3 linked regions of the Ovis aries genome follow. The protein of the gene in region 1 purifies or fractionates together with the protein of each later gene. This does not show direct contact. Links are inferred from orthologs where the notes say so. Each region holds a gene or a part of one and is shown on either strand. Other genes may lie near its edges.

Region 1 (9,977 bases):
CCAATTCCACCAACCCATACAAGTTGACTTAGAAATTTACCTTCATCTCCATCTATCACTGAGATCTCCTCATCCATCATCATCAAGGGATCACCCTAGAGAAGGAGATCCACCCCGCAGGATGGAGAGGGGAGGAAAAGGGGGTAAAATTGGCACTCTCAAATCACTTGTGTGTGTGTCCTTTTATGGCATCAAGGTATCAAGATATTTTTTAATGAAAGGAACCCTCACAGAAAACTGAAAGCAATCAACTAAAAGAATAAGGAAGTATAACCTGCAAAGTTAGTTCTTATCAATGTCTTGAAGACAGTGAGACTCAGGAATTAAATAGTCCAATAATATAGTTCATTGTCCAGCTTAGGTCCCACCTCCTCCAAAAAATCATCCCTGACCTCCCCTAGCTGGTGTTACAATCCTTTCCATTAATACTTTATATTCTTGAATGGTACTTTTCATTTTTTATTATAAATTAATCAGTATACTTCATGATTCAGGGAATTGGAAAATACTGTTTAGTAATACAGAAAAGCTAGACTCAAATGAAAATTCCTCACCTCATCATCTTGGTCCTTTGGGGGTCCCTGGAGTGGTTTGTATTCTGGATCTTCACAATCTTTATCAAAGTCAACCCTAAAATTATCCAGAGGTATGAGAAAATGACAAAATTGAGTTCTAAACTGCTTGATTTTAAAATGAAACAGCACATTTCCTTTTTCTTAATAGCTTTTTATTATTTAACCCATTTTCCCCCTCTGTCCCAACTAGTATCTACTTTTATTATTTCATTGGAATGAATGATCTATGCCTGCTTATTTTTACTACTTTACTCTACTGAGCAAAAGGATATTACATGATTTGCAATAAATAAATCTAATTTCCTCTGTGGGTCCTACACTAGGCAAACTGAGGCTGTGATCACTGAAGAAAAATCTTTCAATAATAAGGGACTAGGAAGGTATTCATGAACTAAGTCAAATATTTCACATGCCCCTCAGATCTCCACATGAGAAGTTTTGTTAAACTCACTGGCACCCAAACCAGGGCAATACTGCCCTAGCTGATGGCTCAGTATTAGCATGGCAACTCATCACTGAGGCATGGACTCAGGCAAAGTAAACACCTTTATGTGTCAGCGGACACTGGAAAATGATAGACCAAGGCTAAAGTTTCCTGAGGGTCTATCACACTGGTGGTAGGAGACTGTTGCATGGCTACCATCTTTCAAGAGAAGCAGTTACCCTCTCCGCTACTGTAGCTAAAAGCACTGCACAGAAAACTGAAGAGAAGATCAAATAAGCCATTTGGGAGTAATTTTCCCCCTTAGTTGCGCTGTATGACAATGTATGGTTTCAGGCCAATTTATGGAGACCTTTCTGCTGGTCGCACTGTTTGTTAAGAATTTATCATTTGTGAGTATAACCACCATTAGGAATCCCAACGGATTCAGTCAAGGCTAGAGTTATGTCATCTCTTAGCACAAGCAACAAATATCCTTTGTAATGCAGATACAGCTTTAACAGAACTAAACATCAATGCTTACCCTTCCACTATGTCAGAAAAATTATCTAACACGCGATGCTCTGCTGCGATGGCTTTGTCATCTGGTCGGCCAGCCTTTTCCAGGAAGCATAAGGCTGGGTCTGCCCTCATAGTATTATATTTTTCATAGCCTTGAAGAGAAAGAGCCATAATTAAAGAAAATCAGACTCATTTTGCTTTTACGCTTACTTCATATGCTGCTGGAATAAAAATGTGGGCTACTCTGCTCATAGTGTAAAGTACTCTGAAAATGTTAATTTGGACAGCTGTTGGGTTATATTAAGATATTTAATATTTCCACTCCAATTCAGAGTCATAAAGAGTTTTATCACTAGTTACCAAAAATAGGAATTTAATCAGTGTGTACAGAGAATGGTGACAGATTTACATAGCCATTTAACGGGTAATTTTTTTTTTAAAACGGGTAATTTTTTATCATCATTCTTACTACATAGGTGAGGAAATTTTGAAAGTCCAATAATTTAGAGCTAGGTAATACACTTTCAAATAAAGGATAAGAAATTTGTACCTGCAAACAGGTACTCTGAATGGTGGATGAATGATGAACGTATTTCAGGATATTTGGACTCTTCTAAAGCCTCTGCACCTCACAAGTAAATCTAACACTACAAATGCTCACATTTTTTCTCATCCAATTAAACTTGTCAAAAATGTGAATTAAGTGCCATTACTTTTATTTTATAGAAGTAAACAGAAAAGTATATTAAAAAAGAAATAATCTTCCGATTCATTAAGTCACTAGGCTAGAAGTTAGCACTTACTGCTTTTTATGTGTGGAATTTGTGATTAGGGAAGATTGAAAAGGGAGTCTTCTCCCTTTTTCTACTCTACTTTAAGCCAGTTTTTTCTACTGACCTAAAAAAAAATTTTTTTTTTTAATTTTTCTTTCACTCAAGCATGGCTATTCACACCTACGTAAGAGTGAATGCTGAATATTTAGACAAACAAGATGCTATAGAAACAGAACATTTTCAGCAAGGCACAGGAAAGCTATGCAAAGTAAACATGTTTATTATTAACAAGAGTAGACATGCATCATCTCCCCCGATTGCAAACCTTAACTTAGATACCACTGCATACAGACTGGTAGTAACTGATTAATCACAGAACAGATGGAAGACACCCTACCTTGCGATTTAACTATCCATCTGGTCTTTCCTGACCATCTATTCATAGGAACAGCTCTGCTCTGTATTTCTGAGAACCAGTTTACCATTCAAACGTAATTATTGGTCTTAAGTACTTTGCAAAACATTTCATCTGTGGACAAAACTCTATAACAGGAAAAGAGCAGACTAAGAGCAGACACCTACCATGCTTAAAGACTCCAATGAGCAGGGACTTATCAGCCTCACTGTCCCACCATGTTGTTGGAACCTCCAGCTGATCCACTACTGGGAACCATATGTCAATCTCACTGAAGGTGTAAGAGGCAGAGTCAGCACAGTGATGCAGGAAATAAAAGCAAACAATCTTTGGAAAGATTATTACAAGTATCTTCCTTTCTCTATTAATTTAAATAGTCCTACATCTGCCTATTTCCTTCCACTGGTATCAAGAACAGCTGTCCCCTGGTATCTGTAAGGGATTCGTTCCACCCCAGACACCAAAATCCACTGATGTTCAAGCCCCTAAAATAAGATGGAATCATACAGTAAATTCAGCTGGCCCTTATGGATTTGATCAACTGTGGATCAAAAGGATGCAAAACCCAAGGATACAAAAGGCCAACTGCATAGCACTGAAGACCTGATATACAGATTTTAATTACCACGTATCCCAAGATAGTTAACAGTGAAATAAGTAAACCAATCTATTCTGGAATAAGGCACAGCATAAGGAAAAATAAAGCATAACTTTACCTGGCAATTGCACCCCCTAACACCTTCTCTGCCTGGTCTCCAATAACCTCCTGTCTCAGATAATATAGCATTCGTACCCGCAACAGCACCCTAGAAGGGAGAGAGGAAGAACTGGCTCAGTAATAGTGCAGAAAGCGTGAGGTGGAAAATCCTTTAGTCTGCTAAATTCCATCCTTACTTGTTACACTGATGTTTTAAGTGCTTCTTATAACTCTCATCTTGAAACAGAGTATCAGGGTTATATTTCCGGATCCAATCTGCCTTATGGATATCAAAAGTGCTTTGTGACTTTACTTTTTTCCCCTTGCGTCCACGAGGCACAGGGATAGACAGACCTGGGGAAGGGGATACATCGAAGACTTGGATTGAGAAAAACCCTTGGACCTGAAAAGGATTAGGTAACCTATAGAAAGACAAAAAGCAAAGACTTGATAATCACCTGAATGATTCTGCAATTCTTTTGTCTTGCCATTTTCAGCAGGGCTAATCAAGTCCCAAATGAAGCCTTTGATATTTTCATCCCCACGATAGTGTAAGAGACAGTACACGAGGATGGCCCGGCAAATTGTTTCCACATCTCTTTCAGTCATCCGTCGCTTGAAACGTCCATGAGACAGAATATCTCGCCATCGTCCCCAACTACAAAAAAATGCAATCATATGGATATTTTCCTAGGGACCCCAGTCCCTCAAATTCACACGTCCCAAATGGTGGGAGACAAAATGATCTTGGGAAAACATGGTAACAGAATAAATTTTTTCCCATTATCCCCTCTTTGATCATACCTTCCAATTTAAAAAGCGAACGAGATGTCTATCAGGAAGGAATGTACTACCTCTGAGGAAAGATGGGGTCTTACCCATATACCAGGAGATGCTTTTCCACCCGAAAACAGTCAGTGCGCCCATAGGTATGATGACGGTCATGTCGGCGAGAGCGTGGTCGCTCATCGTCTTCACTTTCCAAATCAGAGAATTCCACTAGGTCATCATCTTTCAGAGTGCTGAAGTGGCGGGTCTGTTTTCGTACTCTAGGTGTGTCAATCACCAAGTTATTCTATGCAGAGAACAGAAGGAGAAGTAACTCTTTTCACAATATAATTGTGGGAAAGGAATTAAAGATAACCAGACTGAAATAGCCTTGCATGTAATATCTGTAGATACTCAAAGATAGATTCTTTTTTGGACATGTAAGATAATCTACAGGGATTCAGGAAGCAAACTTAAGTGATAGTTATCTAAGTACTTTTTAGTGGCCCTCTATATAGAAAGCTTTTACAATGGCCTGTGATATACCATCATAAGCCAAGGTCAGCACTGAAGAATCAGAGCAAGGACTCCAGAAAGTAATGTGTTTCCTGCCATAGTTTTTCTTTGAAGGAAAAGGAAGCTCACCTTGCTATTGAGTAGATCCATGTCCAGGTCAGCCTTTTTGGCCCACTTTTGCCAAAAGTTTGGGTCATCCAGAGAAATATCAGTCCTATTTTCAGAAGCCACAAAGCTTGCCTAATGAGGAACAAAGAAATACTAAAGTTGACTACACCACTTTTTTGAGTAAAGAGAAATCAGTATATTTTAAAACTATATTAAAAAAAAACTATATTTTTTAAAAAATATTAAATTCTAGAGATTCCTGTCTCTCTGTGCTAAAAGCCTCTAGCACCAACAGAACATACCTTGGCAAAGGTAGAACCCTTTCCTTCAGATTCAATGGTGATGGTAGTGGTTCGTCTTAACAAGATCTGGTCAATGTCCTCTTCACAAAACTTGGAGCCCTCATCATCTTCCTCCATTATGGCTGCATACGCTCCTTTCCTTAAGAGATCTTCAATCTCCTTCTTAGAGAACTGTTGGATCTACAAAATCCAACAGAAAGGTGAAAAAAAATCAGAGAATATTATCTAACCACATCATGATATTTTATTATATTTTAAGGAATAATCATTGAGAATCCAAACAAGGGGTCAGGTTCCTATACAAAAAATAGCTTTTGCCTCCCTTCATCACCATGACCTACTACAAATATAGCTAAAAATTAAGAAGACTCACTCCAGTAATGTTGCCATCCCGACCACTCATGGACTGAAGCACAGCTTTATCCAATCCCAACTTGAGGCTAGCCTTATCAAACATCTCCCTCTCGTAAGAATTACGAGTGATGAGACGGTACACCTTCACAGCTTTGCTCTGCCCAATTCGATGACAACGTGCTTGGGCCTGGTTTTAACAAATGGAAGGAAGGGCAAAAATAACAACATTAGAAGGAGTGGGGAGGACAAGCATTCAAAATACTGATTTACATTTATAAAGCAGCCATGAGATCAACTCAACATCAGAAAGTCAATTTCAAGATGAAATTACTGCCTCATCATCCAGACCAGGTGTCAGCAAATCTTGGTCACCTATTTCTAAAGTTTCTGCTGAAACACAGCTCTACCCATTCATTTATATTTGCTTATAGATGTTTTTTGTAGTACAAGAGTAAAGGAGAACCGTTACAACAGAGACTGATTTGCACAGCCTAAAATATTAACTATCTGCCCTATACAGAAAAAGTTTGATGACCTAACTAACTAAACAATTCCAGATTCTTGAAAAGCTAAGACTTTCTAAGAGAACCTGATCCTGTTGCAAAACCTCTCAGGTTAGGTGATTAGTCCCTAAGACAATGATTTCCTCTACCTGCAGGTCATTTTGCGGATTCCAGTCCGAATCAAAGATGATGCAAGTATCAGCAGCTGTGAGATTAATGCCAAGTCCACCAGCCCGGGTGCATAGCAGGAAGACAAATCGGTCCGAGTCAGGCTTGCTAAAACGGTCAATAGCAGCTTGCCGAAGGTTGCCTCTAACTCGCCCATCAATACGCTCATATAAGTACCTGCAAGGGAATCACAGGAAAAAAGTTTAATCAGCTGAGCAGAAAAAGAGAAGAAAAAAGCAGGCTGGGATCATACCAGTACCCTTGTATTGCTAGTTCACCAAAAGTTTTATCAGAAAGTTGAGAGTGAGAGTCTTGAATACTTCTCTTAGCCCAGTCCTGGTCAACTTTATTTAAACCCAGGCCTCCCACTCTTTGCAGCTCTATAAGTACAAAGTAAACAGGCGAGGAATGACTTTTTTCTCACCTTCTCTGGATTAGATAATCCTCTAGGATATCTAGGCAGCGTACCATCTGGGAGAAGATCAGAACCTTATGGCCACCAGCTTTAAGTTTTGGAAGTAGCTTGTCAATAAGAACCAATTTGCCAGCTGAACGAACCATGGCCTGCAAGTGGAAGTCATGAGGTATGATATGGCAAGCTTCTCGAAACTCTGTTAGGATTTTTTCTTCTGCACCTGCCAAAAGAAAATCAGACCTAATGTTGAGATCCAGAGAAACCACTAAGGCTGCAGTTTATTTAACTGAGATAAGGAAGCAAAGAAAAGAAAATAACCTGACTTGATATCAATATGACTTGAAAACAGAATTTCAGCAACTCCCAAACCCTAAAATATCCTCAATTTTGTTAATACAAAATATTCCATATAAGTCAGGCTTAAGAATTATTCCACGTAAGTCAGAGTAAAATATGTAAATATGTGGAAAAGGACTAGAATATTACATGAAAACCACTATTACCACCATACTGCCATCCAAAACAGAAACAGCAACACAGAATATCAGTGGAGACAGAACAGAATTCTTAACAGCAAATCCTTTTTAACTTTGGAGATTATGCAGAGTCAAAGGGTCAGAAAGAACTAGAGGAAGATGTTCCACGTGAGAATGGTTTTAAAAAGAGAAAATTCCCTCTATTTCCAAACTAGGATGGATCAGCCAATCCATGTATTGTTTCTGAGGAACACCATTTAGTAATCAAGGTAACACAGAAATGTAGGTGTTTCAGGAGTTCTCTCACCATTGATGAGATATGGGTGGTTGCAGCATTTCCGCAACTCCATCATTGTGTTGAGTAGATTCGGCATGTTAGTATGACCTGCCCCTTTGGAAAGAAAGGAGAAGTTTTTCTCCAAAATAGCCCGGTAGTATTTTTTCTGAATGTTGGTTAGCTCTACTTCAATAATGGTCTCCTGTTTGGGTGCCAGGTTCTTTTCAACATCTTCTTTGAGTCTTCTCAGCATCATTGGTTTGAGAATGGCCTGTAGCTTTTGAACCTGTAACCAACAGAGGAAAAAATAATAACATGAGGACAAACCTTCTCACATTAGATGGAAACATGGATATCAATGACAGTAGATATCTTCCCTAGTACAAATTTTTTTATTCTGCATTAGTATCACATCAGACAACTTCCTACCTGTTCTTCTGTTTTGAGATCCCCAAAGTCTTTGAGGAATTCTGATTCTGATGGAAACTGTGACGGTTCCAAGAAATGAAGCAAGCTAAACAGTTCCTCCACAGTATTTTGCAATGGTGTTCCAGTGAGCAGCACTTTGTGCTCCTAGAAATGGAGAACACAGAAGAAAGATAAAACTCAGAAAGACTTCTGAAGTTTTCCATCAAGTATATAACTTTAGTTTCCATTTCTTTAACTGTAAAATTATGGAAATGGACCAGATTACTCTTACTTGCTGCCTCTTTTGATAAACACAAAATACTCAAGAATATTCTTGATATTATTTAACATATTAATTTAATATCATAAGGCAATAAAGAAATATTTAGAACATGTTTTTTCCAATTAAATATGCCTCTCCACACTCAAGTCCCCACAGATATCCATTAATATGTCTCCCTCTAAGAAATGTACCTGTGTAGGATTAAATATGGCCATTGATTTTTGGTAGTTCCTCCTATCAAGATTCACCACTTGAACATGGTCGTGCTTTATAACTTGCTCTGACAATGAGAATGTAGCAGAAGTGGGTACCATGTGCGTTTCAGAGCCTCAAAGGCCTTGCCTTCCACCTTTACCCTCTTGGAACACTGCTCTGACTCTACCAGGTACAGAAGCAAAGTCTGGCCCACAGAGGGGTGACAGACCACATGGAAGATGGCCTAGCCAACAACCAGTACCAACTGTCAGCTGCAGCTGTATCACTGACTCCTGGCAAGGCCACTGAAAGAATGAGATCACTCAGCCCAGCCCAAGTTGCTAAGCTAGAGAGTCATGAAAAACACAGTTGTTTTAAGTCACTAGGTTTTTGGATATTTTGCTATGCAGAAATAGGTAACTAATTTAACATCTCACCTCTTCACCCAGTTGAGAACCACTAACCCACAATCATCTTCTAACTCTAAAATTTATATGAATTTTATGACTTTCAGGCTACCATTCCCACAGGCCACACCCCCACTCAATACCAAGATTCTGATTCTTCTCTATAAAATTAATTCATATGGAATTAAGATTACTTAATTCTAGGTGTTTCTGGCCACAAGTCAGTGGGAGGAACTCACCAGGTCCATGTGCTTGAGACTATCAAGCAGTTTGCAATTACGGTTCTTTAGTCGATGGGCCTCATCAATGATGACACACCGCCATTCAATCTCACGAAGCTCAGGACAGTCTGACAAAATCATCTCAAAAGTGGTGATCAAGGCATCAAACTTGTATGCACCTGGGATGAGGCGCCCCTAAGCATGAAGGCAACAAAGTCAGAAAAGGCCTAAAATGTACTTAAATAAGAAGCTCTTCTGGACTACATATTCTGCATATTATATTTAGGCAGGCCTCATAGAAAACACAAATTGCACCACCACCCACCTCTGCCACTGTTCATATTCCTGATAAACAGTGTCAAATCACTGAATCACTGCCTCCTCAACACACTCAGCTTCTTGGGAAAATCACAGACCTTACTGAAAGAAGCTGGACATTCTTGACTTTGCTGCATGCCTACCTCATGTATTTCAGCCCTATATCTTCTGTTGGTAAACACTAAAATCCACAAATGTTGAGCACTGCTGAAACACACAAGATAAAACTAAAAGTGAAACAGCTAATGTAGTATGTGGTAATATTGGTTACTACCTAAAAATGGACAAAAGAATCCAATTATCTTAACAAAATTAAGAGCCACAAAATGACTTGAATAAACTTGGGTTTCGTAGAAATAAAAATGGGAAACTAATGGTAGGAAAAAAACTCAAAATTCAATGTTAAGAAACCCTTTCCAAACTTATACAGAAAAAAGAAATAATCTTGATGAAAACTTCAGTAGACTTAAAAAAAAAAAGGAAGAAATGTCTTATGTTCACCATTTTATGAATCAAGGAATTAAAAGTAGCTAAATGAATTTCATTCTGGAAAATTATTTTTTGATGAAAACTAATCAATCCTGGTAAAACTATTTAAAACGTATATATTCATAAATAAAGTCAGAATTTCCACTGGATCAAAATGTTCACTGGATCAAAATAGCAAAGTTGGAAAAGTGTCCTGCATAAAGTAGACAACAATACCTTACATCACAGAGAGTCTCAATAAAAGTCTTTGACTCATATAAAAGCTTCTAAAATACCAGGTACTTTGACCTACTCTCTAAGCCATAGTATTTGCATTATAGGAAACTCACCCGTGAGTCTTTGCAGTACATTTCATATTGCTGTATC
Region 2 (9,977 bases), on another chromosome or scaffold:
ATGGTTTCACCAGGATTCAGAAAGCTATAGTTGATCAGACAGGCAACAGACCACCAAACAGTGACCACGATTCTTTTTTGGTGTTAGTGGCTTTGGGAAATGCTTTGGAAGCTTATCCACGGTCCAGCCACTGAACTGGTTATCATCAGTTGAAAATCCACTTTTTGTCGCATACCACAATCCAATCAGGAAATGATTCATTGCTGTCGAATATAATAAGAGAAGATGACACTCCCAAACAACGATTTTTTTTATTTGAGGCACCCACCTATTGTGTGTTTTCACCTTTCCAATTTGCTTCGAATGCCAGCGAACCATAAAATGGTCAACACTGAGTTCTTCACCAACTTCTCATGTAGTTAGATTTAAGAGGATAAGTTTCGATGATCCCCTCGATTGGTGGTGTCAAATTCTGATGGCTGGCCACTGTGCTCCTTATCTTCAAGGTTCTCGTCTCCTTTGCAAAACTTCTTTAAAAAAAAAAAATCAGGCATTTATAAACAAGAAAGCGTACATAAATTACATAAAAATAGTTTTTGAATAGTAGAGTAGGTCATTAGAGTATTGTGATTAGCAGCAACAAAGGAGAGAAGGGGATGGTGATGTGGACGCTCCTGGCGAGTACCAGGGTGCAAAACTTCTTGAACCCACTGCACTGTACATTCGTTAGCAGTTCCCGGGCCAGATGCATTGTTGATGTTATAAGTTGTCTCCACCACTTTACAACCCATTTTGAAATCGCTCAGATTTGCTTTTTGTCTAACATCATTTCTCTAAGTCTAAAATAAATATAAAATGAACAGCAAATAATAAAATGGGAGCTGGTAATGGACAGGGAGGCCTGGCGTGCTGCAGTCCATGGGGTCTCAAAGAGTCGGACACGACTGAGCGACTGAACTGAACTTAATAAGTCGTTAGCAAAAAAACAAAGTGATGCATGCAACATTGAAGTTATGTATAACATGACCACATTTATTCAAGAGTGTATTCCAATATCAGGCGGCAGAGTTCAGCAATGCAAAACAGCAATCACTTATGCAACAACCTAATACCCAGTCAGCTTAAGGAGTCAACCGGGATTTGTCTGTGGTGAAGACACCAGAGGAAACATTTAAGAGGAGCTCTCAGTTGCCTCAGAGGTTAAGAATCACTTCTAAATATTACAGCTTAAAGCAGCTATGGATTAAACATCTGAGCTGCTGTGGTGCCTTCCTCTTGCCCTCAAGTCTTTTTTCTTTTTGGCTATGCTGGGTCTTCATTGCTACATGCAGGCTTTTCTCTAGTGACAGCTACTCTCTGGTTGGGGTACAAGAGCCTCTCATTGCAGTAGCTTCTCTTGTTACAGAGTATGGGCTCTAGGAGCACAAGCTCAGTAGTTGTACATATGGGCTTAATTACTCCTCTGCATGTGGGATCTTCCCAGACCAGGGACTGAACCCATGTCTCCTGCACTGACAGGCAGATTCTCAACCACTGGACCACCAGGGAAGCCCTGCCCTCAAGTCTTTAGAAAGCAGGATGCCAAACAGGATTATGGGCTTATATCTGGCTCTAGTGTTGGTTTGCAAAATCATGAACCTGTTTTATGTCCTAGGAGAGTGTGATCACAAGAGAGATGGTGGAGATGCTCTTTTCTGATGATCCTGACCTGCAGTTAGCAACCACACAGAAATTCCGGAAACTGCTCTCCAAAGGTACAAAGCCTAGACTTCCCCAGAGAGGCCTGCATGACTTAGCCTTTTGTTTCCTCTCACTGACCTCATCAGTTACTGCCCTTCATTCATTCTGCTCTAGCCCTGCTGGCTGTGGCATCCTTGGACAAGCCAGGCACATTCCTACCTTTGCATGGCCATTCCCTCTGCTTGATACCCTTTAGTTGCAGATATCTGTGTGACAGGGCTTCCCTGGTGGCTCAGTGGTAAAGAGTCCATCTGCCAATGTAGGAGAAGTGGGTTCGATTGCTGGGTTGGGAAGATGCCCTGGAGAAGGAAATAGCAACCCACTCTAGTATTATTCTTGCCTGGAAAATCTCATGGACAGAGGAGCCTGGCAGGCTACATTCCATGGGGTTGCAAAAGAGTCAGACACTACTCAGCAACTAAAGAACAACAATCTGTGTGATAGCTGCTTCATTTCTGTGGTTAGATCCTACCTTTCTCAGCAAAACCTACCCTGACACCCTAACTAAAATTGCTGCTCCCCCCACCCCCTGCAGCATTTTTAATCTCCTTACCTGGCCCTACGTATTTTATTTCCTATTACAGTTATTACCTTCAAACATAACAGTATTTCTTCTCACTAGGATATAAGCTCCATGAGGACAGAGACTTTTGGTTTGGTTCACTGTTATATTCTTGGTACCCAGAACTACGTCTGGCACGCGTTTTTTGCTCAGTAAAAATTTGCTGTATGATGGGAAAAATATTTTCTTTTCTCCCAAGGACTTTTGTCCTTTGACCTTGGGAGGACTTTTCTTCCTCCCAAGAAAAGAATGCTGATCTTAGAAGGGAAGTGTTTAGACCAGCATTGCACCTTCTTTGGTCATCTCTCCCTTACTTTCTTGCTTGCTTAGGTAGGTAAGGTTATTTACTTGCTTAGATTTAGAAAGCCAAAGGTGAGCATACTTGGATTAGGATTGGCTTTACTTTTTAGATTCTCAGCTATTTGATGCAGTTCAAAAATGACCTGCTATTGTTAAAACCACCTCACCAGAAGGAAGCTTGGGAGTGTTTCTAAGGATGGTCAGGAGTATTTAGGAAGGATGGTGGACTGACCCCAGTGAATGCATCAGCCAGCCCTTCTCCTGACTTCTCTCTTTCCTTTGTCCCTCTCCCAGAGCCCAGTCCTCCAATAGATGAAGTTATCAACACTCCAGGAGTGGTGGATCGGTTTGTGGAGTTTCTGAAGAGGAATGAGAATTGTACATTACAGGTGAGGCCCAGGGTGGAGAGGTACCAGATGAATGCTCTTTTGCCAAGAAATTGCTAAGGCATGCTTCTGCAGACACATCTGTGAGGAGGAAACATTTAAGGAGATGCTGTTACCTCAGAGGACTTGGTCTCAAGTAAGAGAGCCACAAACTCTTCCCCAAAACAGTCTCAAAGGAAAGATACCAGAATATGACAGATTCATTATTCAGAGGTTGTGATATAGAATAAATATATATACATATGTATGTATGTATACATATACGTATATAAAACGCTCTAGTCCATTTGTAATTCTGGAGTGAACCACTTTGCTTCTCTGGGCCTCTCTTCTCACAAATGAGTGATGAGCCACTCTACGAGAACTTATTAGAAATTTGGCTGAAAGGATCCTTGAGAGACCCGTCTCACTTATATCCTGGTTTCAGAAACGAATAAAGTGAAGTGCAGGAAATAAAAACATGGCTTGCTGCAACCCACTCCAGTATTATTGCCTGGGAAATCCCATGGACAGAGGATCCTGGCAGGCTTCAGTCTATTGGGTCGCAAAAGAGTTGGACATGACTTAGCGACTCTGCCACAACAACCCACTGAGGTGGTGGGGGAATAGTAAAGATTTGGTGTTGCCCCCAGGTTTCACTCCTCTTCTTTCATTCTTTCTCCTTCTCCTAACTCTTTCAACCTGTCTTCCTCTCTGCCTCTAGGAAAAACAAACCAACAAAAAACGCGGCTTGCCCAGGAACTCATGGGGGCTGTGGTAGTGCAGGCCTAGACCTGGAACCATGGAAGCCTAGTTCTGTCTTCCTATTATGTTATGTCACTGCCAGTAATTCTTCCTTTCTTTTAAAGGAGAAAAGGGAAAGGCATGTGTGGTGTTGTGTTTTTTTTTTGTTGTTGTTGTTTTTCAAGTCAGGGGCAGGAGACGTAACTGCTCTGAGCCAGGTGGTAGGCACGGCTGCTCTGTCCGGAATGACCTCTCAGTCATGGCTTTAATCTCACTTTCAGTTTGAAGCTGCCTGGGCTCTAACAAACATCGCCTCTGGAACCTCTCAGCAGACCAAAATTGTCATTGAAGCAGGGGCCGTCCCCATTTTTATAGAGCTGCTTAACTCGGACTTTGAGGATGTACAGGAACAGGTAATACCCAAATTTGACTTAATTCTTAATGATGTCAGCGGTATAGTAAAAAATGTATTTTGTCTTTATCCCCAGTTAAGAGGTTAAGAGCAAAGAGCTCCTAAGAACCTTGGGATTTTCTTAGTGATCCAAGCGACTTCTCTTATCCCTAAAGAGCACCTTTGCAACACACCTGAGTGTGTGCTAATGCGATGACTCAGGGTGGGGCCCTAGATAGCTTTCGGAAGGGGGGCTAGTGATCAGAAAGACCAAATTTGGGATTAGAGAATAGGAACTTTCAGCCCCGCCCCTGCCCACTCTTCCCACCCCTGCTCCCCAACCTCCCTAGGGATGTTACAGGGGGTAAATATTGGGTTATAAAAATCTTGAACAGTGAGATTCAGAGAGCGTCTGGGTTGGTGAATGCTCACTGTGCTGGGAAGGTGACATGCCTGGAGAGGGCACAGGAGTTCTGTGCAGCCCCTATGCTTTGCCCCATGCCTTGCCCTCTGCATCTCTAGCTCTTCCTCAGTTGTATCCATTAGAGTAAACTGCTAAACATGAGTCAAGTTTTCCTGAGTTCTGTGAGTCGTTGCAGAATGTGGAACTCCTGAATTTATAGCCAGTTGGTAAAAAGTATAGGTGGCACCTGGGAGTTGTAACTAGTATCTAAGTGAGGCCAGTCTTGTGGGACTGAGCCCCCTACCTATTGAACTGACATGGGTTTCCTGGTAGCTCAGCTGGTAAAGAATCTGCCAGTGGTGCAAGAGACCCCAGTTCAATTACTGGGTTGGGAAGACTCCCCTGGAGAAGGGAACGGCTACCCACTCCAATATTCTGGCCTAAGAGAATTCCATGGACTGTATAGTCCATGTGGTCACAAAGAGTCGGACACAACTGAGCGACTTTCACTTTTCACTGACATGGTATCAGAGAATTGATGTAGAAGAAAACTCTACATGTTGGGTGTCAGGTGGTGTTGGGAAAAAGACACCACAGTACCCATTTTTCAACATCTATGGATCATAAAAACCCTACTTCCAATTCTTGCGCTGGAGTTTTACTGGTTGACTAGAAGTGGAGTGGTACTGGGGATTTTTCCTCTATTAATACATATAGGGTTGGTCCTATGAGACAAGAAGAATACAAGTTTCCCATCATTTTCTCCTTTTATGGGAGATGAGGAGGTGCGGATAAGGAGGTTTTGGTTTGGTTTCTCTGGCTACAGTACAGCGGCAGCCTGCTTTCCCCCCCAAACCCAGGAATTCTCAGAGGAAAAGTCCTCATAGAGCAAGTACTCAATGAGGATGTCAACAAGGAGGGTACTGAGCTTATTTGGTGTGTTTCAGGCCTTGATGGGATGTTCGTCCTGGTTACTGCTGTGTGTCACTCTGTAGTTGTGAGTGTAAAGTACTCACAGAAGCCACTAGGCTCTGTGGGTGACAGTTCCATCCTCCCTTTTTTAGGCAGTCTGGGCACTGGGAAACATAGCTGGAGACAGCTCCGTTTGCCGAGATTACGTCTTGAACTGTTCCATCCTCAATCCTTTGTTAACGTGAGTAACTACTGGCATCTGCACCGCAAGCATCTGTAGGGCAGCCATGTAGCAGATCTTTGGGGGACAGTTTACCTTAAAATGATGAGTAAATCCAAAAATGCTACAAGTGCATTCTGATTGACAGAGTAAAAGGCTATCTTCTGAGAGTAAGAAGATTGTGCCGCTGGTGTGTGTCTTATGCTTCTCGCTTCACAGCACTGTAGAGTCTCCTGTTGGTCATACTGGGCTCATTGCTGAGCCAGAGGAGAGAAGGAGGAATAGCCCATCTGGAAAAACCTAACCTTCTCTGCAAAATGCATTGATTTTCTATGGGTTTATGCATAGGTACATTGGAGAGCTCTGTTGTAAACCACAGATCTAAGACCCCATGCAGGGTCGTATGGATGCAGAGGGAGGAGTTTTTCTTCAGAAGCCACACCTCGTAAGCTACTATTAGAACTCTTTTATGGGCCTGTCACAGAGAATCCATCCGTACTGCATAGCTAAAGCCCCCACACTAAAACTTCATTTAGCATGCTTATTCAAGGTCCAGCTCTCTGCTCTTATTAGCTGTGGGCTTAACAACCACATCTGGTCCTAATCCCCTATGAAGATGTAGGTTAGCCCCCTGGACCAAACTAACTCACTTAAATTATGGGTAGGAAAAGACAGTGAGGGGGCTAGAGTCGTAGGGGTCTGGTTGGATGTGCTCCTGGGGCTCACAGACAACAGCTCTATGCAAAGGGCATCATTGGTCAGCATCTGGCTTCTCTGTCTCCTTCAGACTCCTTACCAAGTCCACACGACTGACAATGACCCGGAATGCGGTCTGGGCCCTGTCAAACCTCTGCCGAGGGAAGAACCCACCCCCAGAGTTTGCAAAGGTAAGAGAGCTTCTTACCAGTTCCTGAGTAATAGCAGGTTCCTTCATATGGAGGAATTTTGACATGGGAGTTTTCAAGTCTTTGGGGAACCCTCAGAGTCTTGATCCACGGGAAACTGAAAGAGGCAATCTTCAGTGAAGTAGGTGATCTCGTGTGCCAGGGTGGTAAATGAAAATGTGGGCCTGATGGCTTAATGTAGTAGAAATCTCTGGGTCTTAGACTTACTCAGTAGAGGAGGGCTCGGACATGTTAGGGTTAGTGGTAGAGCTGATGTAACCCTGTCCCTCTATGAATCCCTCTCTCTCTGCTTCCAATAGGTCTCCCCCTGTTTGCCCGTGCTGTCTCGCCTACTCTTCAGCAGCGACTCAGACTTGCTGGCAGATGCTTGCTGGGCCCTCTCTTATCTATCTGATGGCCCCAATGAGAAGATCCAGGCAGTCATAGACTCTGGAGTCTGCCGGAGATTGGTCGAGCTTCTCATGTGAGTGATCCCAGTTAGAAAGGGTACAGATTCCAAGCTCAGAACTGCAGTTAGCAGTCTGCTGCCCTGTGCAAAGGTCTGGACCCATGAGTGCTACCGGCCTTGGTGGTCAGCAGAGCTGAAAGCTTGGTGCTGGCCCTCTACTGACCAGATCGCCCTCCTCTATAGGCACAACGATAACAAAGTGGCTTCTCCTGCTCTGAGAGCTGTGGGTAACATCGTCACTGGGGATGACATCCAGACCCAGGTAAGGAGGAGGAAGAGAGCTGTCTGTGGACAAATCCCTCCCTGCCGTAGACTTTAGTCCTGGTGGGGGGCAGTGTGATCTAGGAGAGAAAGCACAGGCTTGAAGGAAAAATTCCAACTCTGCCACTTTCTGTATGATTTGTGGGCAACTTGGTTGCCTTTATTTTTTCTATAAATTGGAAGCAAATCATTATCCATTGGGTGCTACTGAAGAAAAACTAAATGGAATAACTTGACTTACTACCTGGGACATGGTAAAGTCCCAGCTTTTCTGTTATGGTACCTTTGAAATACTTAAATCTTTGGAGCCTCACCCCTACTTTGTAACTAAACCTTTAGGATCCCATGGGTAACCTCATGTTAGTCCTCTGTTAGTAATACCTCCATAGAGGGTGCAGTATGCAAGGTTTTTCTATACACAGGCTGGAGAGCTGGTTATTCTTTTAAGTATAGTTCAATGGCATTAAGCGCATTCACATTGTTATTTAACCATCACAATCATCCATCTCCACAACTTTTGCGTCGTTCAGAACTGAAACTCTGTGCTCTTCAAATAATAAATTCCCGTTTCCCCCTCCCCTCATCCCCTGGTAACTACCACATTACTTTCTGTTTCTTGCGAGTTTGACTCCTCTAGAAACCTCACGTAAACCAAACCATATATATTTGTTCTTTTGTTTCAACTTAGTTCACTTAGCATGTTTTCGAAGCTCATCCCATGTTTTAGTAAGTCATACCTTCATTCCTTTCGGTGGCTCAATGATCTTCCTTGGCACACCTGTGCCACATTTGGTTTATTCATGCATCTGTTGATCAACATTTGGGTTGCTTTCACCTTTTGGCTAGTGTGAGTAATGTTGCATTGAATATTGGCATACAAATCTCTGTTTGAGTCCTTGTTTTCAGCTCTTTGGGATATACACCCAGAGGTGGAATTACTGGGTCATGGAGTAATTTTATATTTAAAGATTTTGGGGAACCACCATACTGTTTAGCACAATGGCTATACCATTTTACCTTCCCACCAGCAATGTACCAGGTTCCAGTTTCTCCACATCTTTACCAACAATTGTATTGCCTGGATTTTTTAAGAATAAAAATAATTTTATTTTTATAATAAATTTTAAATGTTATAAGTATTATAATAAATTTTATATATTATATATATATATAATCCCCTGGGATCTGGGGGTTAAGAACCCGCCTTCTAATGCAGGCGACTCGGGTTCAGTCCCTATTTGGGGAACTAAGATCCCACATGCTGTGGGGCAACTAAGCCTGCATGCTGCAGTGAAGACCCAGCACGGCCAGGAAAACAGAATAACTGTCCTATGAAGTGTGAAGCTGTATCTCACTGAGGTTTTGATTTGCATTTCCCTACTGATTAATGATGTCTGACATCTTTCATGTGCTTTGGGGCCCCCTGCCTGTTTTCTTTGGAAAAATGTCTGTTTATGTCCTTTGCCCATTTTAAACTATGTTCAGCTTTTTTTTTTTTAATGTAATCTGGATATTCATCTTTATCAGATATATAATTTCAATATACTTTCTCCCATTCTGTGACTTGTGTAATTCACTCTGTTGAAAGATGTCTTTCGGTACACAAAAGTTTTAAATTTTGATTAAGTCCAATTTATCTCAATTTGTCTTTTGGTGTTCTAGGTCATTCTTAACTGTTCAGCCCTCCCTTGCCTCCTCCACCTCCTGAGCAGCTCCAAGGAGTCAATCCGAAAGGAAGCTTGTTGGACCATTTCAAATATCACTGCTGGCAACAGGGCTCAGATACAGGTAAAACAAGCAGTTGGGAGATTGAGGAACGGTGGTAGAAAGGCCTGGGATCACGAGACTTTGTGGGATATTGCCTTCTAGACAAAAAAATTTCTCTTTTGAAATTGGGATCAGTGTCTGCTATTGGTCAAAGACTCTGTGGAGCAGAAGCCAGGTTCTTCTGCACCACCTTAGGTATATGGGAACGACAAAGGAGAACTTTGAGGAAGGGGAATGTGTCTAAATCTTAGCTGATTTGTGTTCTGGATTTGCTTATTCTCCTTGAAATGACTTTTTTCCCCCATATCCCACCCCCGAACCCCTAATTATTCTCAGGCTGTCATAGATGCAAACATCTTCCCTGTATTGATCGAAATCCTTCAGAAAGCAGAGTTCCGTACAAGGAAAGAAGCAGCCTGGGCCATCACCAATGCCACATCAGGAGGAACCCCTGAACAAATCAGGTACCACAGTCCTTCCCATTGTTTGAGTGACATGTTTACTCTACCTGTCAGCTTATGTTACATACAGTCTCTAAACTGCCTTTGCTGGGATAAGTCTACTGCTGTTCAGTAGGGTTTAACTGATAAGCTGCTAGAGTGTAGCCTCTTTTCCCTCCTTGAGAATGGACACTTAAGACAGACATTCATCTCTCCTCTGCCTCTTTCTACCCACAAGAGAATTTAAATCTATATAATTCACAATTACTCATACAAATGAAAGAGAACCATTCGATGGCTCATTCGGAGCAGTTTCCTTGAGAAATCATTTTTGACAATGATACTTGAGAGAAGTAAATAGGAAAGCTGTTTTGTGTGAAGATGTTCTCTGATTCTGCTTTCCATTATGAACTTGAGTTGGAGTGGTGGGAATTAGAAAAGTACCTTGCCTTCAGCTTGTAGCTTAGGAAGGGGGAGTATATTCAGTTCAGTCGCTCAGTCGTGTCCGACTCTTTGCGACCTCATGAATTGCAGCACGCCAGGCCTCCCTGTCCATCACCAACTCCCGGAGTTCACTCA
Region 3 (9,977 bases), on another chromosome or scaffold:
AGGAGAGAAATATCAAAAGGACACAGAAGGCCACTTGAAGGGACTTCTACAGTTTAAACCTGGAATGATTTGAACATTGAAATAAATTGTAGTAACATTACAACTTTTTTGAATAAAATAGCAATCCATAAGTCCACACTTAAATAAGTAGATAGATCAATAGATTTAAAAAAAAGATATATAGTGTAAGTGATAGTATTAGAAACTCATCATTGGCAACAATAATGATTATTAATTCAGACAATAAATATCAGAATATGCTAAAGTTAGTGGTGAAAGTGGATTAAGGAATGGTATTTTACATAGTCTAAAAGTATTATTTTCTCACAAAACACTATAAGGGGAAAAACAGTAGTGAAGAAATCTGATGGACACCATCTTATTTAAGTGACAGAGGCCAGTGCCACTATAGTGGACAAAATAGATACCATATGCCATATAATACTATGTAATGAAAAGACTATAGCATTTCTGATATCTCAGCCAAAAGCATATAACTTCATCTTAATCCCTGAACAAAACCAAATAATTAGCTTTTGATTGTCACAGGGAAAACTAAGGAATTCTTTTGACTTCAAAGAGACTGGAAAGACATGGGTACAACACATGATTCTGGGTTAGATTTCTTTGTTAGAGGAATATTACTGGGAAAATTAGTGAAACTTGAAAAGGATCTCTGGTAGAGTATGGAGGAGTTTTCTGTACTATTTTTGCAAATTTTTTGTAAATTTTAATATAGAATATAAGTTCATATTTTTATTACTTTTAGGCACAATGATTATAAAGTTGTATCACCTGCATTAAGAGCAGTTGGTAATATTGTGACTGGTGATGATATTCAAACACAGGTGAGTTCAGACTTTAATATGATAAATTGGTAACATAAGGAACTTTTAAGAAGTTTATCATGTTAATCAAGATGTTAGTATTACCATAATTATGCAGGCATCTGTTACATGTCAGTAAGTATATTCTCAGTAATAAGTAATCCATCTCAAATACCCCTATATGAAGGCACTATCGTAGACCTATATCAATGTAAAGAAGTATAGGATAGGACTTTGGCTCTTGAGGGGTTTACATTTCAGTTGAGGAAAAAATATATAATGAAATAAAGCAAATTACCTAAGGTAGTATGTTTCCTGAGAACTGATTTGTCCTTAAATACTATAAATTTTTTTAAATTGGTGTGCTGAGAAATCTTTGTCGATTCCATAAAGGAGTTGGAATTACTGCTGGAGAAGAATTTCAGTAGACTGGAAGAAATTTATGTGGTCATAAGGTAGAGGCACACATGTGTGAGTTACGATTAAGAGGTGTTAAACTTGGCTGGAAAAGAAACTGCTTAGGAGATGTTTACAGGTTAAAAGTTGGGTTGGAAATGCAATGTAATAGATTGAAAACTAGATTATGAGAGTTGAAGGAGGGATAGCAAGGAAACATTTTCCCACATTGATAACTAACTGTGTGTCTGTGTCTGCATGTCTGTGTGTCTGTGTGTGTCTACGTGTGTGTTTGCCTGTCTTGGATGATGGTGAGACTTTAAAAAAAGGTGTGATGTCAAACTGATTTCAGATCTGGAATATTCTTTCTTAAAGATACAAACTTAAACTCAGAAACATTAAATTATCCATTGCTATCATGAACTATATATTCTAATCTACATTCTTTAAGTTTTAGTCTTTTGAAGTCATATTTAGATATTTAGTTATTAAACAGTAGATCTTTAGTAATTGATAATTATTAATTTAAAAGAGCTCTTTAAAATAAAATGCACTTCCACACATACACTGTTTTCAGCAGAATTTTGGTGCACTGCTTCATATGTTCTTCACCAAGTAAACTTAATGTAAATCATTGTGGTTATTGTGAAAATGGAGCATAATTAATCTTGCTGTGAAATAAAGAATGTAAAGAGACAAAGCAAACCATGCTGTGCTTAGTCCCTCAGTCATGTCCGACTCTTTGTGTCCCCATGGACTGAAGCCCACCAGGCTCCTCTGTCCATGGGATTCTCCAGGCAAGAATACTGGAGTGGGTTGCCATGCCCTCCTCCAGGGGATCTTCCCAAACCAGGGATCGAACCCAGGTCTCCTGCATTACAGGCAGATTCTTTGCTGTCTGAGCCACTAGGGAAGCTCCTAAGAATACTTGAGTGGGTGGTCTTTCCCTTCTCCAAAGGATCTTCTGACCCAGGAATTGAACCAGGGTCTCCTGCATTGCAGGCAGATTCTTTACCAGCTGAGCTACCAGGGAAGCAAACTGTACTTACTTACAAAAGGAAAATAGGACAGTATAAATTTTAATGAAACAAATAGACTTAATATACACATTTCTTAACAATTTCTTAATAGACAACTTTCTTAACAGTTACGGAGTTGGATACATTCAAACTGTTTGAGGTATAAATATAGATACATTTTCCCCATTAATTTATTTGGCAAAACTTAAGTGGTTGGATCCTGACCAATCACTAAATCTCTGTTCAAATAGTTGTGTCAGTTGAGCTCTGAATGTATTTGTAAACTTGAAGGGCACACCTCTGTTTTCTTCATATTTGCAAATGAGTGGATGGAGAACAGGGCACTTCACTACACCAAGTTTTGGCAAATTGGGAGAGTAGAAGACAGCAAGTGCCTAACTAAGTTTTACTTTGAGAGAAATTTCTTTTTTCTTAATACATTTTCCAGAATTATTATTGTGTTTCTAAATAGTATATTTTTGTGTAGTTCTTTTCCAATAAAACTTTTCATTTTGTTATTGTTGTTTTAGGTAATTTTGAATTGCTCTGCTTTACCCTGTCTTTTACACTTATTGAGTAGCTCAAAGGAGTCAATCAGAAAAGAAGCCTGCTGGACTGTTTCAAATATCACTGCTGGAAACAGAGCTCAGATTCAGGTAAACAGCTTTCATATCTGAAAAAAAAAGGAGACCTCAGGAGTTATTTTGGACAAAAGTCGGCATTTTATCAGTGATATTTTTAGTGAGTTACTAAAAACATTTTCTCAAAAGATCCTTGAAAAGTTTTTTATAGAAACTGAATTTTCCTCCTCTAAAATAATAACATTTACCTGTTGTAGGTATTCTAGTATAGTGCCTGACATGTAACAGTCATTAAGAAGAGCTTGAATTTCATTAGGTTTCAATATCAGCAATGATTGGACTTCCCTGGTGGGTCAGATGGTAAAGAATCTGCCTGCAAGAGACCCAGGTTTGATCCCTGGGTTGGAAAGATTGGCTACCCACTCCAGTATTCTTGGAATGGCTACCCACTCCAGTGTTCTTGCCTGGAAAATCCCATGGATAGAGGAGCCTGATGGGCTACTGTCCATGGGGTTACAAAGAATCAGACATGACTGAGCAACTAACACACTAGGCAATAATCTTCCTCTCAGTGCTTTTAAATAGTGATTTATTAGTGTCCCATCAAGCTGCTTGAGTCATTAATACTAATTTCATCTTGATCAATGACCAGCCTGTGCTTTATCATCTTTAAAATTTATATTCTGCTAATATATTTTCCAGTCTTTAAAGGAAAGTATGTGAAAGTTTGTTGAAAATTTAGAAATAAATTATTTCTAAAGGTGTTTCCAAAAAGTCTGACGTTTTAAAGCCAACAAGTTTCAAGATTCTTCTACTTCATAATATTTATAAGACACTATTTGCATTGATTATGCTATATCATTTTTTCTCCTCAGGCTGTTATAGATGCAAATATTTTTCCTGTTTTAATTGAGATTCTTCAGAAAGCAGAGTTTCGCACTAGGAAAGAAGCAGCTTGGGCTATAACTAATGCAACATCAGGAGGCACTCCAGAACAGATCAGGTGAAAAAAGTTTTTTAATTGTTTTTTAAATATAAATAGGACAAAATTTGGAATAATACATACTTTTTATTTGTTGATAAGACTAAAACATTATTTCTAAGTAAGTTTTATAAGCATTTCTAATGTGAAATGATAGCATTTATTATATCTTTTATTCATTCACAGTGGTTTATTTTTGTCAAAGTATAATTGATATTCTCCTAGGCAAACTATGAAAAATCAGAGATTAAAAATCTGAAAAAGAAGTATATGTTAATTTGAAAACTATACTATTATGGGCAATAAGTATTTTTTTGACCATTAAAATCTCATGCATGTCTCTAATCCATGATTGTCTTCAATTTTTTAAATGATTGAATAATGGATAGTACGTTATGGTAGTATATTGACAATTAAATGTAATTTGCACACTTACAGTCTTACAGTGCTTTAGCATGGTGCCTAAACATTAAGCTCTCTACTAAGATTAGCTATTATCATTATTATTTGTAATCATCATCAATTTTTATTATCGGTATTCTCTTTTCTGCTGTCACCTTTTTTTCTTCCTGCTTTGTGTGGTTTGCGGGATCTTAGTTCCTGGACAGGGATCAAATCCATATCCCCTGCAGTGGAAACACAGAATTCTAACCACTTGACTGCCAGAGAATTCCCTGCTTTCACTCTTTTTTCCTCCATAGGAAAGTTCTACTTTGCCATTCTAGAAAAGCCTGACTTTCTACAGAATCTTCTTGTTGTGAGGATCACTTCTTGAAACTCGATACTTCTTTGGTTTCTTGAAGTGCTTATTTAGGAAATATTTTCTAATACATATTTATTTAATTCTTAATTTATACAAAAGAAGTTAGGCTGCTATGCCAATCTATAAATCACTAGGAGGATTTTGAAATCTACTTTTTGGGAGATCATTGTCTATTATTGCCTTCATTTCTACTGTTATTTTCTTTTCTCAGATATGTTGATACCATCTGTCTCTGCCTTTTATTTTTCATTCCTCCTCTGATTTAATCAGTATTATTTTCATTTCATTTGTGTCATGAATTACAAATAGTAATAAAATAAGATCTTTCATTTGTTCTAACTTGTATATTTTTTTGATGCTGATGTTATTTTTGTCTGTTTTGGGGCCCAAAGTTTGTAAACAGTTTATAAACAGTTATATTTTATTTTTCAATTTATTTTCATCTTTGTGTCTGTTCCTTAAAATGTATTAGTGTGACTCAGGTGTCCAAATTGAGATAATTATTTTTCTAGCCATTTTCATCATTTCTTTAACTCTACATATAGGGGAAGAAGACTTGATCTCAGATAAGGTTCAGCATTCATATCACTAATTTTTATTGACTGCTAGTTGTTATGCTAAGTCATTTCAGTTGTTGAGCATCAGTAGTACATCGGATGCTTTCATGTATTTTATTTCCATTAACTTTATAACTATGAGATAGTTATTCATTCAGCAGTTATATTTGATCAGTCACAGGTTAGGATATGGCAAGTGAGTATTCCAGTGAAGATATGCACATTTAAAAGAGGTGGGGATGAAAACTAACTTCCACTGAATATTTGCAGTATTCTCACAGCAACATTCTAGTTTAGAACTATTATTATTTCCACTTTTGATGTGGAAACTGAGGCACAGAGAGGTTACACAAAAGCACACAACTAATGAGGAGTGGGATTAGGACTTGAAACCATGCAGTTTGGCTTCAGAGCATGTTTAACATGGACTTTAGAGCATGCTTAATATGGACTTTTTGCCAGGTGAAGAAATTAGCTATTTTAAAGATCTAATAACTAGAAAAGGAAAAAGCATTAGGAAATGAGTAGAACAATTTTTGTGATCATTGTTTATTAAGATTATTCACAACATGGCCTGTTTTGCTTCTAGAAGCCTTCTGTGCTTCTGAAACACAGCCTATATTTTAGAACATTAACTACGATTGTTTCTGTGGAAAATTTCTTTCAGTTTGATTTAGGTGTCTCTTTTCCGTCTTCATTTCTACCTACCCCGATATGGCTTCATGTGTTATACGGGCTAACTAACCTTTATAACAAAAACAAACCTTGAGCCAACTATACTTCGCACTCATATGCTATGCAAAAACAACTATAAGTACCAATTTGCTTATATGTATTTTTGTAATATTTGTAAACCATTAATTGCTAATTATGTTAAATTATGAAAATAAGAGTAAGATTTTTCAGGTTCCTATATAAGTAAAAATTTAAGTATTTTTAAGAATACTTAAGTGTTTATGTAACATTTCACTGAAGAATGTTTTCATATCATTGCTATAAATATTTAAGTATTTTAAAATGTTTCTCCTCCACATTTTTTTTTAATTATTCTGAAGGTATTTGGTAGCCTTAGGCTGCATTAAACCACTTTGTGATCTGTTGACTGTTATGGACTCTAAAATAGTTCAAGTGGCTTTAAATGGACTTGAAAATATTTTACGGCTTGGGGAACAAGAATCTAAGCAGAATGGAATAGGCATTAATCCATACTGTGCACTCATTGAAGAAGCATATGGTGAGCATTCAGTAAAATTTATATTGCTATCAATGTTTTAATTGAGATCCAAGTGACACATTGGTTTCATGTATATAACATAATGATTCAGTATTTGTGTATACTGCAAAATGAATGTAATAATTATAGTTCATGTCACCATAGTTAAAATTTTTTTTCTTGTAGTGAGAACTCTTCAGATTTACTCTTAGCAGCTTTCATATATATATTACAGTATTATTAAATGTGGTCCCCATCACTGTATATTACTTCCCCAAAGCTTATACAGACTAGAAGTTTGTGCCTTTTGACAGCCCCTTTCACCCATTTAATTCAACCCCTCACCTCCTGTCTCTGACAACAGCCAGTCTGTATCCTGTATCAATGCACTTACTCTGAGCTCTTTGTTTTTGTTTGTTTAGATTCTGCATATAAGTGAGATTATAGGGTATTTGTCTGTATCTGTGACTTGTTTCAGTGAGTGTAATGCCCCCAAGGTCCATCCAGGTTGTTGCAGATGGCAAGGTTTTCTTCTTTTTTAAAAAAACTGAATACTGTTCCTCTGTATGTGTATGTGTTGTGTGTATATGTACCACAGTTTCTTTATCAATTCATTCTTTGATAGATAAGATAGCTCCCATGTCTGGGCTGTTGTAAATAATGCTGAAGTGAACACAGGGGTTCATAATATCTTTGAGTTCATTTTTTTTTTCATTTTCTTGAGATAAATGTCAAGAAGTGAAATTGCTGGATTATATTTTAAGAAATAAATGTGAAAAGTTAAAACTAGAACTGCCATATAATCTATATTGTTATCCATAGGGATTGCACCAGTTTACATTCCCACCAATAGTACACAAGGGTTTCCTTTTCCCACATCCTTACCAACACTTTCTGTCTCATCTTTTTGACAGTGGTCATTCTAACAGGTGTAAGGTGAAATCTTATTGTGGTTTTCATTTCCATTTCCCTAATGATTAATAATGTTGAGCATCTTGTCCTATACCTATTGGGCATCTGTGTATCTCCCTTGAAAAAATGTTCATTCAGATTGTCTGCCCATTTTTTAATCAGTTTGGTTTTGGGGTATTGAGTTATATGAGTTCTTTATATATTTTAGATATTAACCCCCTACTAGGTATATGATTCACAAATACTTTCTCTCATTTCCTAGGTTATCTTTTCATATTGCTGATGTTTTCCTTTGCTGTGCAGAAGTTTTTTAGTTTAATGTGGTCCCACTTGTTTATTTTTACTTTCTTGTCCTTTGTGTTTGGCATCAGATCCAGAATTCAAACAACTGTAACCAAGACCATGGAATTTATTTCCAGATGAGGCATGAATCTAAGTCAGTTCTTTTTCCTTTCAGTATATTTCCATTAAATATTCACTTTCTGTCTTAAATCCTATTATATCCATTCAACCACACCTGGGAGACCACTTTGCCTTTATTTCAAATTACATAATGTCACTGGTTAAGACATCATATAAATGAAAGATATTAATCGCTGATTTAAGAATATTTCCTGCTACAATCATTATTTTGGCCCCAAGTTATACTAGAGTTTAAGCTATTCTATGAGTATATATAGATATGATTACTTGATATATTTATATCCTGCAACAAATTGAAGAGGTTTATCTATAATTAAGTGAAAAATACTTTTAGCATCATCCAGACTTACGTGTGGATTATTTTCTTGTGAGCAGTAAAATAAAACACTGTAGATTCTCCTTACACTATGAAAATGGGTTAAGTTTCACTTATAAACTGTATTGGATTTACAAATAGTATTCATTTATTCCTTATTGATACACTTTGGCTTATTCTGTGAGAGAACTTTTTGTTAGTTTGCTCATTAATTTTAGGGCTTTGTTGTTGTTGTTTTGTTGCTTTCCCTTTTTGTGCTTTTTATTTAACATGATTACCCTGGGAACAACTTGTGGAGTTTACATGATCTAAAACTGTCATTTTAAAATTCAGAAACTGAAGTACAGAGGAATCAAACTTATTTGGGAAAAATCATAGAACTAGAAGGGTGGATTCTATGATCTTCCTACTGCCCAGCCTATGCTTACTCTTCATACCTTATTGCCCAATATTTTTATTTGTGAACTATAAAGCATAAGTATTGACTATCATTATACGCAAAAATCAGATAAAAGCTACAGAATCACTGAAATGTGTAATCTAAAAAATGCTACAAACTAGTGACTATAACAAAAGAGAAGTAGACTCATATAAACTAGTGGTTACCAGTGCAACCAGTGGGGGTGGAGTGCAAATTATTGGGTAAGATAGGCTCAAGGATGTATTGTACAACAGAGGGAATATAGCCAATGTTTTGTAATAACTGTAAATGGAATACAACCTTTAAAAATTATGTTTTAATTTTTTAAATTAGATTAAAAATAACAGTTCCATTGACAGTGGACTGGTGATCTATTGATTCATTATTTTGATTTAAATATATGTTGAAATCTGAGTAATAACTTTGATTTTATATATATGCTTTATATAATAGGTCTAGATAAAATTGAATTTCTGCAAAGCCATGAAAATCAGGAAATTTACCAAAAGGCTTTTGATCTGATTGAACATTACTTTGGTGTAGAAGATGATGACCCCAGTATTGTACCTCAAGTGGATGAAAATCAGCAACAGTTTGTATTTCAGCAGCAGGAAGCACCAATGGAAGGGTTCCAACTTTAACTTGGTAGGAGGTAAATTAATGGCTAAGAAGGGTAGCTTTACATATCTCCCCTTTCTTGCATTGTCAGTAGGAATATTTGATGTGTTTTTGTGTAGAACAAAAAAACAAAGAAGATGCACTTTTAGAAAGCAAAACAAAAGTTTCCATTCATATGCAACCTTTTATTATAGTTTTGTTGTTATGTTGGCCTGCCTGTATATATATCTTTCATTGTTTTATCTTTTTTTGTGTCTATCTGAGAACAGTTAAATACATTATTTAATAATTTAAGCCTGAGAAGGAGAATTTTGGTAAAGTATGACAATAATGGTTCTGAATTTTTCTAGCGCTCTTGGAAACTGCACATTAACAGTACAGCTGTTGATAATTGCATTTTGGCAGTGTTGGACATTCCCGTTCTCTACTAAATCTACCTCTCAAAGCAAAAACAAAACAAAAAAGCTTCAGAAGCGTGAAATAGAGAAAAGGCTAAATTAGAATGTAAAGATAGGTGTTACCAGAAATTATAAATCACTGTGCTCTAGGTTATACTTTGCAAAAAAAAAAAAAGGTTGGACAAAACCTGTAAAAGTTACTTATAAAATATAGGAAAAATATTGTACTGATAATTAAAATGTAGCAATTGTGAAGAGAGAAGCTGTTCTTCATATTGAACACATTAAAATAATTACACAACATTTAAATATTTGTGTTTTTAACATATAAATGCTATATTTTATATTTTGACCAAATATGCTAACATTTTTGAAATAGTGCTTTTTTATTTTTTCACTGCTCATTTTAGAGAGCATCATGATAGAGATGCCATTATGAATCTAAAGTAGTGCTGCATAGCAAAAATAATACTGTATTCCTTTCTCTGATTTTTCAGAGCAGTAATTGAGAAGTTTCACTTTCTGTGTAATAATGAACTTAGGTACTTGAA

The links.
Region 2: the proteins of CHD8 (region 1) and KPNA6 purify together in Homo sapiens (affinity purification with mass spectrometry; 4 studies listed by BioGRID and IntAct, with this or other methods). This does not show direct contact. The link is inferred for Ovis aries from reciprocal best matches to the Homo sapiens genes CHD8 and KPNA6.
Region 3: the proteins of CHD8 (region 1) and KPNA5 purify together in Homo sapiens (affinity purification with mass spectrometry; 3 studies listed by BioGRID and IntAct, with this or other methods). This does not show direct contact. The link is inferred for Ovis aries from reciprocal best matches to the Homo sapiens genes CHD8 and KPNA5.

What each region holds. Positions count from the first base shown.
Region 1 is NC_056060.1:24,094,790-24,104,766, reverse strand, and holds part of CHD8 (chromodomain-helicase-DNA-binding protein 8), read right to left. Parts: coding exon 9,941-9,977; intron 9,000-9,940; coding exon 8,823-8,999; intron 7,864-8,822; coding exon 7,720-7,863; intron 7,577-7,719; coding exon 7,321-7,576; intron 6,758-7,320; coding exon 6,547-6,757; intron 6,300-6,546; coding exon 6,104-6,299; intron 5,639-6,103; coding exon 5,471-5,638; intron 5,278-5,470; coding exon 5,098-5,277; intron 4,928-5,097; coding exon 4,817-4,927; intron 4,479-4,816; coding exon 4,282-4,478; intron 4,062-4,281; coding exon 3,862-4,061; intron 3,782-3,861; coding exon 3,601-3,781; intron 3,513-3,600; coding exon 3,423-3,512; intron 2,978-3,422; coding exon 2,874-2,977; intron 1,671-2,873; coding exon 1,541-1,670; intron 1,097-1,540; exon of another isoform or gene 987-1,096; intron 631-986; coding exon 555-630; intron 96-554; coding exon 41-95; intron 1-40. UniProt on the Homo sapiens protein: ATP-dependent chromatin-remodeling factor, it slides nucleosomes along DNA; nucleosome sliding requires ATP. Acts as a transcription repressor by remodeling chromatin structure and recruiting histone H1 to target genes.
Region 2 is NC_056055.1:235,358,464-235,368,440, reverse strand, and holds part of KPNA6 (importin subunit alpha-7), read left to right. Parts: intron 1-1,594; coding exon 1,595-1,694; intron 1,695-2,836; coding exon 2,837-2,931; intron 2,932-3,932; coding exon 3,933-4,064; intron 4,065-5,509; coding exon 5,510-5,598; intron 5,599-6,364; coding exon 6,365-6,464; intron 6,465-6,781; coding exon 6,782-6,945; intron 6,946-7,113; coding exon 7,114-7,192; intron 7,193-8,853; coding exon 8,854-8,979; intron 8,980-9,294; coding exon 9,295-9,422; intron 9,423-9,977. UniProt on the Homo sapiens protein: Functions in nuclear protein import as an adapter protein for nuclear receptor KPNB1. Binds specifically and directly to substrates containing either a simple or bipartite NLS motif.
Region 3 is NC_056061.1:21,102,682-21,112,658, reverse strand, and holds part of KPNA5 (importin subunit alpha-6), read left to right. Parts: intron 1-769; coding exon 770-848; intron 849-2,772; coding exon 2,773-2,898; intron 2,899-3,698; coding exon 3,699-3,826; intron 3,827-6,180; coding exon 6,181-6,359; intron 6,360-8,863; coding exon 8,864-9,051; 3' UTR 9,052-9,977. UniProt on the Homo sapiens protein: Functions in nuclear protein import as an adapter protein for nuclear receptor KPNB1. Binds specifically and directly to substrates containing either a simple or bipartite NLS motif.